Bombyx mori: one gene and its partners. The protein of the gene in region 2 binds, or shares a complex with, the protein of the main gene of each other region. Links are inferred from orthologs where the notes say so. Each region holds a gene or a part of one and is shown on either strand. Other genes may lie near its edges.

What was found. The genes of interacting proteins can lie anywhere in the genome.
Region 1: THO complex subunit 3 (region 2) and THO complex subunit 7 homolog share a complex: the UniProt entries of both Homo sapiens proteins name them as parts of the transcription/export (TREX) complex. The link is inferred for Bombyx mori from reciprocal best matches to the Homo sapiens genes THOC3 and THOC7.
Region 3: THO complex subunit 3 (region 2) and THO complex subunit 1 share a complex: the UniProt entries of both Homo sapiens proteins name them as parts of the transcription/export (TREX) complex. The link is inferred for Bombyx mori from reciprocal best matches to the Homo sapiens genes THOC3 and THOC1.

The regions. Positions count from the first base shown.
Region 1 is NC_085129.1:4,007,709-4,011,116, reverse strand, and holds THO complex subunit 7 homolog, read right to left. Parts: upstream 2,098-3,408; 5' UTR 1,635-2,097; coding exon 1,625-1,634; intron 1,551-1,624; coding exon 1,427-1,550; intron 1,051-1,426; coding exon 576-1,050; 3' UTR 501-575; downstream 1-500. UniProt on the Homo sapiens protein: Component of the THO subcomplex of the TREX complex which is thought to couple mRNA transcription, processing and nuclear export, and which specifically associates with spliced mRNA and not with unspliced pre-mRNA.
Region 2 is NC_085132.1:2,069,957-2,072,481, reverse strand, and holds the end of THO complex subunit 3, read right to left. Parts: intron 2,357-2,525; coding exon 2,195-2,356; intron 1,501-2,194; coding exon 1,400-1,500; intron 701-1,399; coding exon 543-700; 3' UTR 501-542; downstream 1-500. UniProt on the Homo sapiens protein: Component of the THO subcomplex of the TREX complex which is thought to couple mRNA transcription, processing and nuclear export, and which specifically associates with spliced mRNA and not with unspliced pre-mRNA.
Region 3 is NC_085117.1:15,880,659-15,884,797, reverse strand, and holds the start of THO complex subunit 1, read left to right. Parts: upstream 1-1,339; 5' UTR 1,340-4,139. UniProt on the Homo sapiens protein: Component of the THO subcomplex of the TREX complex which is thought to couple mRNA transcription, processing and nuclear export, and which specifically associates with spliced mRNA and not with unspliced pre-mRNA.

The DNA of each region.
Region 1 (3,408 bases), on a different chromosome or scaffold from region 2:
AAAGGATCTACCAGGCAAAGCCTAGCTAAACTATCCTAATCCTAAACCTAGGACTTTAACCTACATCTAAACCTAATCCTAAACCTAAGAATCCTCGCAACGAAAAAGATCGGACCATACCTCTGGGAATGTCGCCCAGAGGATCCCGTGATCCGCCACCCACGGACGCGCCTGGTGGAAGTCCAGCATCTCCCCCGCAGACGAGACCCACAGCACGCAATCATTGCGGGCTGAAGGTCCCGTCCAGATCGCGGGCCCCTACGTAACCTGATTCAACCCCAAAGCCAAGGTGAATGGGGTCAAGCTATTTTTTTCAGTTTTTGTGTATTTTTGTAGTGAACAATGTATAGTAACGCATTGTATATAAATATTTAAGCCTCCAGAACCATTATGATCTCCGTTTTATTACTAAAACAAAAAAAAACTATACAAATCAATGTCGAACTTAAAAAGTGTCCCAATTCTCCCCATTTTACAGTACTGAAAATGTAAACAAAAAATCAAGTAGAAAATTCATACTTTATTAGAAATCTCACATAGAGAAATAATCTTATACTCTAATACATCACTCATTATTATGATTCATTTGATATTTCTTTCATATCAACATCATCACAAATAGTCTCTGCATCATCTAGTTCATCTAATAATGCTTGTAATTGATGTATTGAAGTTACAAGCACATGAAATTGTTTCTTTCGTAATGCTAACCGACTTTCCAATTGCTGTTTGGTGGTTTCCAAGTTTGCTAGTTCAGTCTTCAGAGTGCTCAATCTCTCAGAGGTTTCCTTACGATCAGGCTGTTCACTGATAACCTTAGCCAAGACATCATATTCTATTCTGTTTTTTCTGACAGTCTTTGCTTGTGCTAAATCTGTTTTGCTCTTCTGTATGTTCTCTTTGGCCACCTCTATTCCGCTTTCTAGAATTTTCGAGAGTGCTTCGTAGCTTTTTAATTCAGCAGCCATCATTTCAGAACCGAGTTGCGATTTTGTGACAGCAAATTCGCATTGTGCCAGTTGAGCTAACATACGATCATGAGTAGCTTTACTAAAACGAGAAATCTTAATCGTATTACATATTCTGGAACTACAAAAACTTACATTTTGACTGCAGATTTTTATTCTCATAATAAAACAACAAATGTATATGGGGAATAAATGAAAAGGTTAATGAACACTTAATTGAATATTAAGGCTCTTTATTATAGATAAACAGATGCCAACATTTCCCTGCTGGTATTAAATGCTTACCAGAACCTTTGGGACACGAGATAGAAGTTTCAATTGAATTTACAATGGCAATTCTACCCTTCAAATTGGAAGCTATGATCAATGCGGAAGCTATGATAATTCGGAAGTGGAACAGTGTTTACGCATGTGAGCTCACAATACGTCCTAATACGGTACTATTTATTAAAACCAACCTTTCTTCCGGTTTGTCATCCGTTGTATTGCACCATTTTATCAAAGTTTTTAAAAGTACATTCAGTCTCCTGTCGTCTCCAGTACCGTCACCGTCGATCAGAAGTCTTCTACGAATCACATCTTCTGGAAATAACCAATGAGTATTGAAATAGTATTTGTTTTTGAGTAGTTTTGTATTCTTAGGTAAAGTTATTTACCGTCACCCATTATGTTTGGAGTAAAATTCAAATGAAATTATGATCTCGTCCGAGTTTGCCTTATAAATTGTTAGGTAATGTTTTTATTCTACAAAATAATCTTATCATAAGCGAATTCAAATTTATCCTTGTTCTTTATATGTAAGTGCTAACTTGTGTGTTTTATTTACAAAAATCAAGAAAAATTAAAAATATTTTATCTCCAAATTTTGGCAGGTTAAATTATTAATAAAAAAAAAGTTTTTTTTATCCAACTCATAGGCAAAGGAGACATTCTCATAAGTTAAAAATGCTCTTCTTTTTATCTAAATATTTTACGACAAAGCCTGAAATCATATCTGTTGCATAAAAAATGAAATGATATAAATAAGACGATAACTATTTTTATATTTAAAGATGAAGAAAACTAAACTAAATAAAACATTCACACAGTATTACAACTTTACTATTTCACATTCCTGTCAAAATTGATTGAAACAAAATTGCTGACCGTGGTTTCTTGAGATCTCAAAATTTAATTGAACGCTGATTAAATTCTTAAGATTTTAAGAACACAAAGCTTAACCTTTTTATTTTAATTAAAAGATTTTGATCGGCTATTTTCCCTTTGCTCATTCAATGGACGAAAGAAAACCACAGACTATTATGAGATGCCTGCCAAACAAGAAAAAAAAACAGATGTCACAACCACAATTCACATGTTGTTTTGCCTTTCGAATTTCGATCCATTGTTCAGGAAATGATGAATAACTGCTATATTAAACCCTTTAAACTATTGAATCTATTTTAACAGTAAATTAGCTGAGTAAACTTTCGGAATATCTTTCACTGAAACAATGGAAACGTCAAGTTTCAGTGATAAAGTCGAGATTTATTTCTCGGAACTTGGGCGATGGCTAGTATCAATAAATAAATAAATAAAATATTTTTTGGGTAAACGTCCTTAAACTAACTAAGTGTGCATTTTCAGGAAAGTGTGGAGGAGCATACTGCTTGGTCAAGTGTTATCCTTATTTCTGAGCGGCAAATGTATATTAACAACAATGTTACAAAGCGCAACCTGGCAGTTTCCTATCACGGGGCAGCTGGTCGTGCCGTATTTAGTACTGTTTGTACTCTTTACCCCGAGCCTACTTTGTACCGGGCTGGAGAAGCTAACGAAGTAAGTTCCAATTCAATTTTAAGACATGAAAAATATCGTCTTTTAAACCAGTTCTATTATTGAAAGAAGTATAAGACAAGACTAAAATAATTAAACTTACTAGGTACTATTACTATCTTATGTTCAATGGTGAGTGCGCTAAGTTTTCTTAATATCTTCTTACTACAAATGTGGAAGTAACCAATATTTAAATCTAACTATAAAATGTTACATTTATCGAGATAATTTTCTCTTATTCTTTTGCTTTGGGATAACTTCCCGCTCTACTCTTTTTATTAGTCAGCAAAATAAAGTATAAAAACATTTCTTAATTCAAGCTAGTATCAGCTGTGACATGTTGGAAAGCTCTGTGCATTCTGTTGTGTGTTTTGCTTTTTTCTTTATTAATACAAGAAATGGAATGGTAGCTGGCCTAATTAACCTTTAAATTTTCAATGTTCAATTCAAAGATGACTGTCTGAATAGATAGTTAAATAAAAAAGTAAATGTTAAATAATAATCAAGTATTTCTACTTAAAAAAGAGATGAAACAAAAAAATAATTACATACCTAGGTATAGAAATCATGTATTTCATTTCAATAAAAGATTCCATATTTAGTAGTTAATTGGGCAATGCAACTA
Region 2 (2,525 bases):
GAAGAGAGAGCGAAATACTCGCTTCACCGCTCCGATTTTTTATTACCCAAACTGCACGGACAAAATAATTCTACTATAGTTTGCTTAAAAAACCATTTGAGCTCATTTCAGAATAAAACCGTCCCTCATTAAACTCGATATAGAACCATAGTAGTGTACAAACTTATAATTTGACTTAATTATAGTCAAATTTCGACTACCGGGGGACCATTAGTTTAAAAAAATTTTTAGTTTAATCTTTTATTACATCGTCTCAAACTTTTTCGTCTGTGTGTTGCATGTCGCGTGACGGTCGGCCGCGGAGTAGGGATAAAGTGAAAGGCGCTCGTCAGAGCAGCCAAGGCCAATATGGCGGCGCCTATAGTTCGCAGCAGCTGACCGTGTAGTGTATAGACTGTTACTCATTTGTGCCAGTGCTCCACGCTATTTTGTTTTTGTTTTTGTCACTGTCTAATGTAAATGTTTCACTTTTACCGTGGTTTCATAAAACCACACAATCCTTTTTAGTATTTTAGTTTATTTTGTATATTACATTTCCAACACTAAGAACTAGAGAGTCCCCACAGTTTGAGATTCCCCAAATCCCGTTTCCTCTCGGGCGGCTCCTTGTCCTCGCAGGCGAAGGCCAGCAGGTAGCGCGCGGGATGCCACGACACCGTGAACGTGGACGCGGACACCGGGATCTCTGCTACTTTCTCCCCTGAAACAGGTTAACAGGGGGTTACTGGTGGTAGGACCTCTTGTGAGTCCACGCGGTTAGGTACCACTACAAAAAAGTCCTGATCCTTCATCGAGGCTCTTAACCTCAATCATAAGGCTTACTGCTTCACTCTGGGAGCTGTTCGTGTGAAGACTCTTTAGGCAATCGAAGCTCCGCATTCACCTCCTCAAATTGTTCCCACCCTGATAAGGATTGCGGCTTCGAAGGCAACGCTGCTGCAAAGTCCTCTTGATACGATCTTAGATCTGACTGGGGCGTTGGCATTTTGAGTCCTTCAGTCACTTAGTCTGGCTAACCTTGCCAATTATTATGCACTTTTCTTTATAGCTGTACTTCGGCGCGCTGCCTGGACAAAGTAGATTGGGGGGGGGGGGGCTCGATAGGGCTGGCACTGTTTAGCTGTTAAGTAGGCACTTACCTAAAGGTAATTAACTTTTTAATATCTTTAATACGAAACTCTGATGACTAATTTAATATAAAATAAAAGTCCTTTTCAATTCAACAAATTTAAATCTCAGCATTTTGACAACCCAAATTTGTTTCTATTCTATCCCTAGTCTAATTTTCCCTCTAATTTTCGGTACTGGAGTCCCGTACAGTCACAAACAAAATTGTGAAGTCAAGTTAGTAACTGTGGATCGTTACCGCTGACCGTAAATGAATATAAAATAGACGAACCTGTCTCCGTGTCTCCGATGTCGATGATGTGGTCCTCGCTCGCGGACGCCAGCAGCCTGCCGTCGAAGCTAAACGACAGCGTCCGGACCGGCCACTCCAACCTGCAACATTGCACACCAGATGTTCTAATTGCACGGGTAGGTCCGCACGGGTAGGTACCACCACCCTGCCTATTTCTGCCGTGAAGCAGTAATGCGTTTCGGTTTGAAGGATGGGGCAGCTGATGTACTGTAAAGACAGGTCTTAGAACTCATGTCTCGAAGTGGGTAGCGACGTTTACATTGTAGATGTCTAAGAGGTCCGGTAAACACTCAACACCAGGTGGGCCGTCAGCTCGTCCACCCATTTAATTGCAACAATATTAAATTTCCCTGTGTGGCTGGTATTTGTAATTGAGAAAGAATGAAACACTGCCTTTTCCCAGGATAATTACTTTTAACACTCTCTTGTGAATACAGTATAATTGCACAGCAACGGTTGCTATGTTTCCATGTTAAATGAATAATGTATTCTGGGTACCATTTAGGTAATATCCACCGTTCATCCTTCATCGCAAATTTCCAACTTCCAAGTCCATTTCCAAGTCTATTTATTAGTATCAGAGGTCTCAGTATTTTACTCTTCATCTTCACGTAATATTAAAAATACAAGTTTGTCTGTTTGTTTGCATTTCGCAGACTGTTGGAGCTTGGTCAATAGCCCGCACTAGTGAAATTAGTTTACATTTTGGCATAATATTGTGTATATTTGATATCTTTTACAGCACATTCAATGAACTAGAACAAAAAAAAATACCTGGAGAAAACTCTTAAGCAGGCCAGTTCATTGACATCCCATAGTGAGACCAGAGCATCGGCTGACCCAGTAGCAAAGTATCTACCGGTTGGGTCGTGCTCGATGCAGATACACGTACCAGGATGCGCCTTCAGTACTGTCTGCAATTCTAGAGATGGATAACTGGAGAGAAATATTAATTTTCGTTATTTTACTAAACTCTCACCATACATACTTTGGCGACTCACTTATCCGCCACTACATTGACACATACCACTACTTGGGCAACCGCCTTATAATTTCGACCAAATTGCTGTCACTTGTGATTTTAGGCCACATCCGCTATTGTTGT
Region 3 (4,139 bases), on a different chromosome or scaffold from region 2:
TGTATCTGAATTTGTCAACGTTAAATCGAAGAAATCCCAAAAAAAGAAACAACTTGTTAATTCTTTTAAACCAAAGATCTCGGACAAACAACTTTCGTTGCGCCCGCTGCAGCAGGCTTTGGCGGGAAATCTTGCAAATAACGTAAATAAGCTTATAGTGCCTCCTCGCCAAATTGTACAGACCTCACCAGAGCCTACTTCAGCGAGTCCTTCTATGACACCATCTGAGACCCCAATGGCCGACTCTGTTTACAGAAAAAAATACACTGAACAGGATCCTGGCCCATATATGGTCCATGTTACTTTAATCTCAGATTCTAATAGTACTACATCACTGCACCCACTTAAATTTGGAAATTTTCTAAAGAAAAGCAATCTTGGTAATATATTACAGGATGGAATTAAACGAGTAGGTCGTAATCGCCTGGCAATAACTTTTAAAACACATAGTGATGCCAATATTTTCATATCCAACATGTCTATGAATCCATTGTATAATGTAGTGATTCCTACATATAATATATGTAAAATGGGTTTGATAAAGGGTATCCCTCAGGAGTGGACTCATGAGGACATTGTAGATAATCTGCAAATCCCAGAAGGCTATGGACAAATTATCAAATCCCGTAGATTAAACAGGAAGTCTGTCAACTCAGATGGAACTTCATGGATTCCTACTCAAACTGTGGTCTTGACTTTTGACGGACAGTCTCTTCCCTCTAGAGTGTATTCCTTTTTTTCAAGTATTCCAGTTGAACAGTATATTTATCCAACGGTACAATGTTTCAATTGTTGTCGCTTTGGACACACTCGTGTTCAATGCAGGAGCAAACCTAGATGTAATAAATGTGGTGGAGAGCACAGCGGACTGGCTTGTAATACTGAGACTTTTTCTTGTGTTAACTGTAGAGGTGAACATATGGCTACAAACAAATCTTGCCCTGAGTTTAGTAGACAAACAAATATTAAAAAACATATGTCTCAAAACCTCATATCATACCAAGAAGCCTCTAAATTGTTTCCTATTGTAAAGAAATCATATTCACAAATAACATCATCTATTCCACTATCTGCCCAAAGTTTAAATGATGTAGATAGTTCAAATTCTGTCTCTTACAAAAAAACTGTTATAAAGAAGCCTAAACAGGCATCTATTTTAAATAAGGGTTATGACAAATCAGAATATAAATCATTGATCCGCAGCATTTCATTTGATGAGTCTCAAGGTAAACTAGGTTCCGCTTTGCAATCCAACAAAGAAAAGGATACACAGTTGCCATCTTCTGACACACTAAATAAATTGTTATCCACACTTATAAATATTATTGCTAATTCAGAACTACCAGAACATGTTGCTCTTTCACTTATAAATAATATTTCACTATCAATTTTCAATATTTTTAAATATGGACAGAGTCCTCCAGTGGAACTGTAAAAGTATAGTTCCTAAAAAACATGAAATTATATCTTTAATTAATTCACATAATATTTTTTTACTAGCCATATCAGAAACTTGGTTAGTTCCAGGTTCCAATTTCCGTATGGCCGGTTTTAATATTCTCAGACATGATAGACATGATGGGTATGGTGGCACAGCCCTTTTAATTCGTAATAATCACAGATTTTCTTCTTTGCCAATCCCAGCTTTTAACTCGGATATTTTACAAGCAGTGGCTGCCCGAGTAGGTGAGGTAACATATCTATCTGTGTACATTTCAGAAAAGGATTTATCTGTTCTGCCTATACTAGACAAAATCATTCAATCATTACCCAAACCAATAGTAGTTCTAGGGGATTTCAACGCTCACCACTTCTTATGGGGAGCACCCAACGATGATGGCATGGGAAATGGCTTAATGGAGATAATAAATGATCATAATCTTTGTGTTCTGAATGATGGGTCCCCCACTCGTCGCCCAGTTCCGGGTCAAGCCCCAAGTTATGTTGATATTACACTTAGTTCAGCCAGTTTGTCTTCACTGTTAAACTGGGAATGTTTAACGCTGTCCTGTGGCAGTGATCATTATCCCTTATTAATTTCCTTGCCCTCTGGTAAAACAGGCACTTTTAATCCACTACCGCCGTTATTTAAGTTCAGATTAAATAACTATGATTGGGAACTGTTTAGTCAAGAAGTCGAATCGAAAATTATGTCCCTTCCAAGTTTATCTACTCTTGATGATTATAACAACATAAACAAGGCGTATGATAACCTTATTACGGCATACTTAGCAGCTGCAGATAAACATATCCCCAAAAAGAATGTTGCCCATAAGAAAATATCTTCTCCCCCATGGTGGGACAAAGAATGTACAGAAGCTGTCAATAAAAGAAATGATGCAGAAAAACTTAATAAGCAATGTTTGACCATGCATAGTTATTTATTTTATAAAAATGTTGAAGCGGCCACTAAAAGGCTTCTTCGGAAAAAGAAAAAAGAGGGATGGAAAAGATTTTGTTCCAAGCTTTCGCCTGATTCGCCATCCTCCCTAATCTGGAAAAATATAAGAATGTTTAGATCTTCTTTTATAGCCCCATCTAGAAATTATACATCGCAAGAATGGATTAATCCTTTTTTGGACAATATCGCACCCACTATGGTTCCTAAGTTTGACCAATTGCCTTATACATACTCTTATATATCAGATAACTCTAATATTAATAATAACTTAGCGTGTTCATTTTCTTTGCCGGAACTTCAATTAGTATTGAACCGGTTATCAGACTCCACTCCAGGATGTGATGGTATTCCTTACTCTTTCTTAATTAATTCAAAACCTATAACCCTATCATATTTACTGAATTTAATTAATTCTATAATAGACACTGGTATAATACCTTCTTCCTGGAAACATCAAATTATAATACCTATATTAAAGCCTAACAAAGATTCAAATAATCCTTTATCTTATAGACCTGTAGCGTTATCATCTGTTTTGGTAAAATTAGCAGAACATTTAATTAAACAAAGATTTGAGTGGTACGTAGAACATAACAATCTTTTGCCTTGCTCTCAATATGGGTTCAGAAGAGGTAAAGGTGTGTCCGATAGCCATGCCATTTTTGCAACAGACATTTTTTTGTCTTTTTCGAAATCTGAATCGGTTGTGGGAGCCTTTTTAGATATTCAAAGCGCGTATGATAATGTAAACTTAATTAAATTAAAAGAAAAAATGTCGGATTTAAAATTACCATTAAAATTTATTGATTTCATTTTTAATTTATATACTGGAAGGACTATTTCTTTACATATACCTGGTTTTGAGGACAAAATAAGAAAAGTTTGGAAAGGTATCCCTCAGGGTTCTGTTCTAAGTCCTCTATTATATGACATTTATACTTTCGATCTCCATTTAAATGTTGATCCTTCCTGTTCCATCTTACAATATGCAGATGATGTCTTAGTTTACTCTGCTAACCGTGATATTAAAATAGCAGCGGAAACTCTTAACGATTCATTAAACAAGTTATCATCCTGGCTCTCTGCCCAAAATCTTTCGTTATCTAAATCTAAAAGTCTCATAGTTGTTTTTACGCGGAAAAGAAAAGTTCCCACCGTAAATATTTCTGTTGATGGAGAACGAATACCAGTGGTTAAAGAGGCGAAATTTCTTGGTCGCATTTTTGATTCTAGTATGAACGGTAACGCTCATATCAACGACATTGTAAGAAAATGTGAGAAAAACATAAATATTATGAGAGCTGTAAGTGGCGTTTGGTGGGGGTCTCATCCTGGTGTACTTAGGTTAATGTATAATGCTTTGGTACGTAGTATATTAGACTTTGGCTCCATAACTTTTTGTCTTGAAAACAAAGAACCTCTACATAAATTAGATTTATTACAACATAAAAGTCTCAGGATCGTTATTGGAGCCATGAATAGTACTCCAATAAATGCTTTACAAATAGAATGCTCTGAACCGCCGCTATCTTTGCGTAGACAATACCTTTCTGATAGATTTATATTTAAAATTCAACAATATCATGGACACCCTTTAATTTTAAAACTACAAAATCTTTGTGAAGTTATTAATGGACGAAATGCTTTCTGGCGTAACAGGAAAATCCCTTACTTAGTTTCTAGCTATAGAAGATTTTTAGAACTACGTTGTTCAATTCATAAATTTCAATGCCACTCA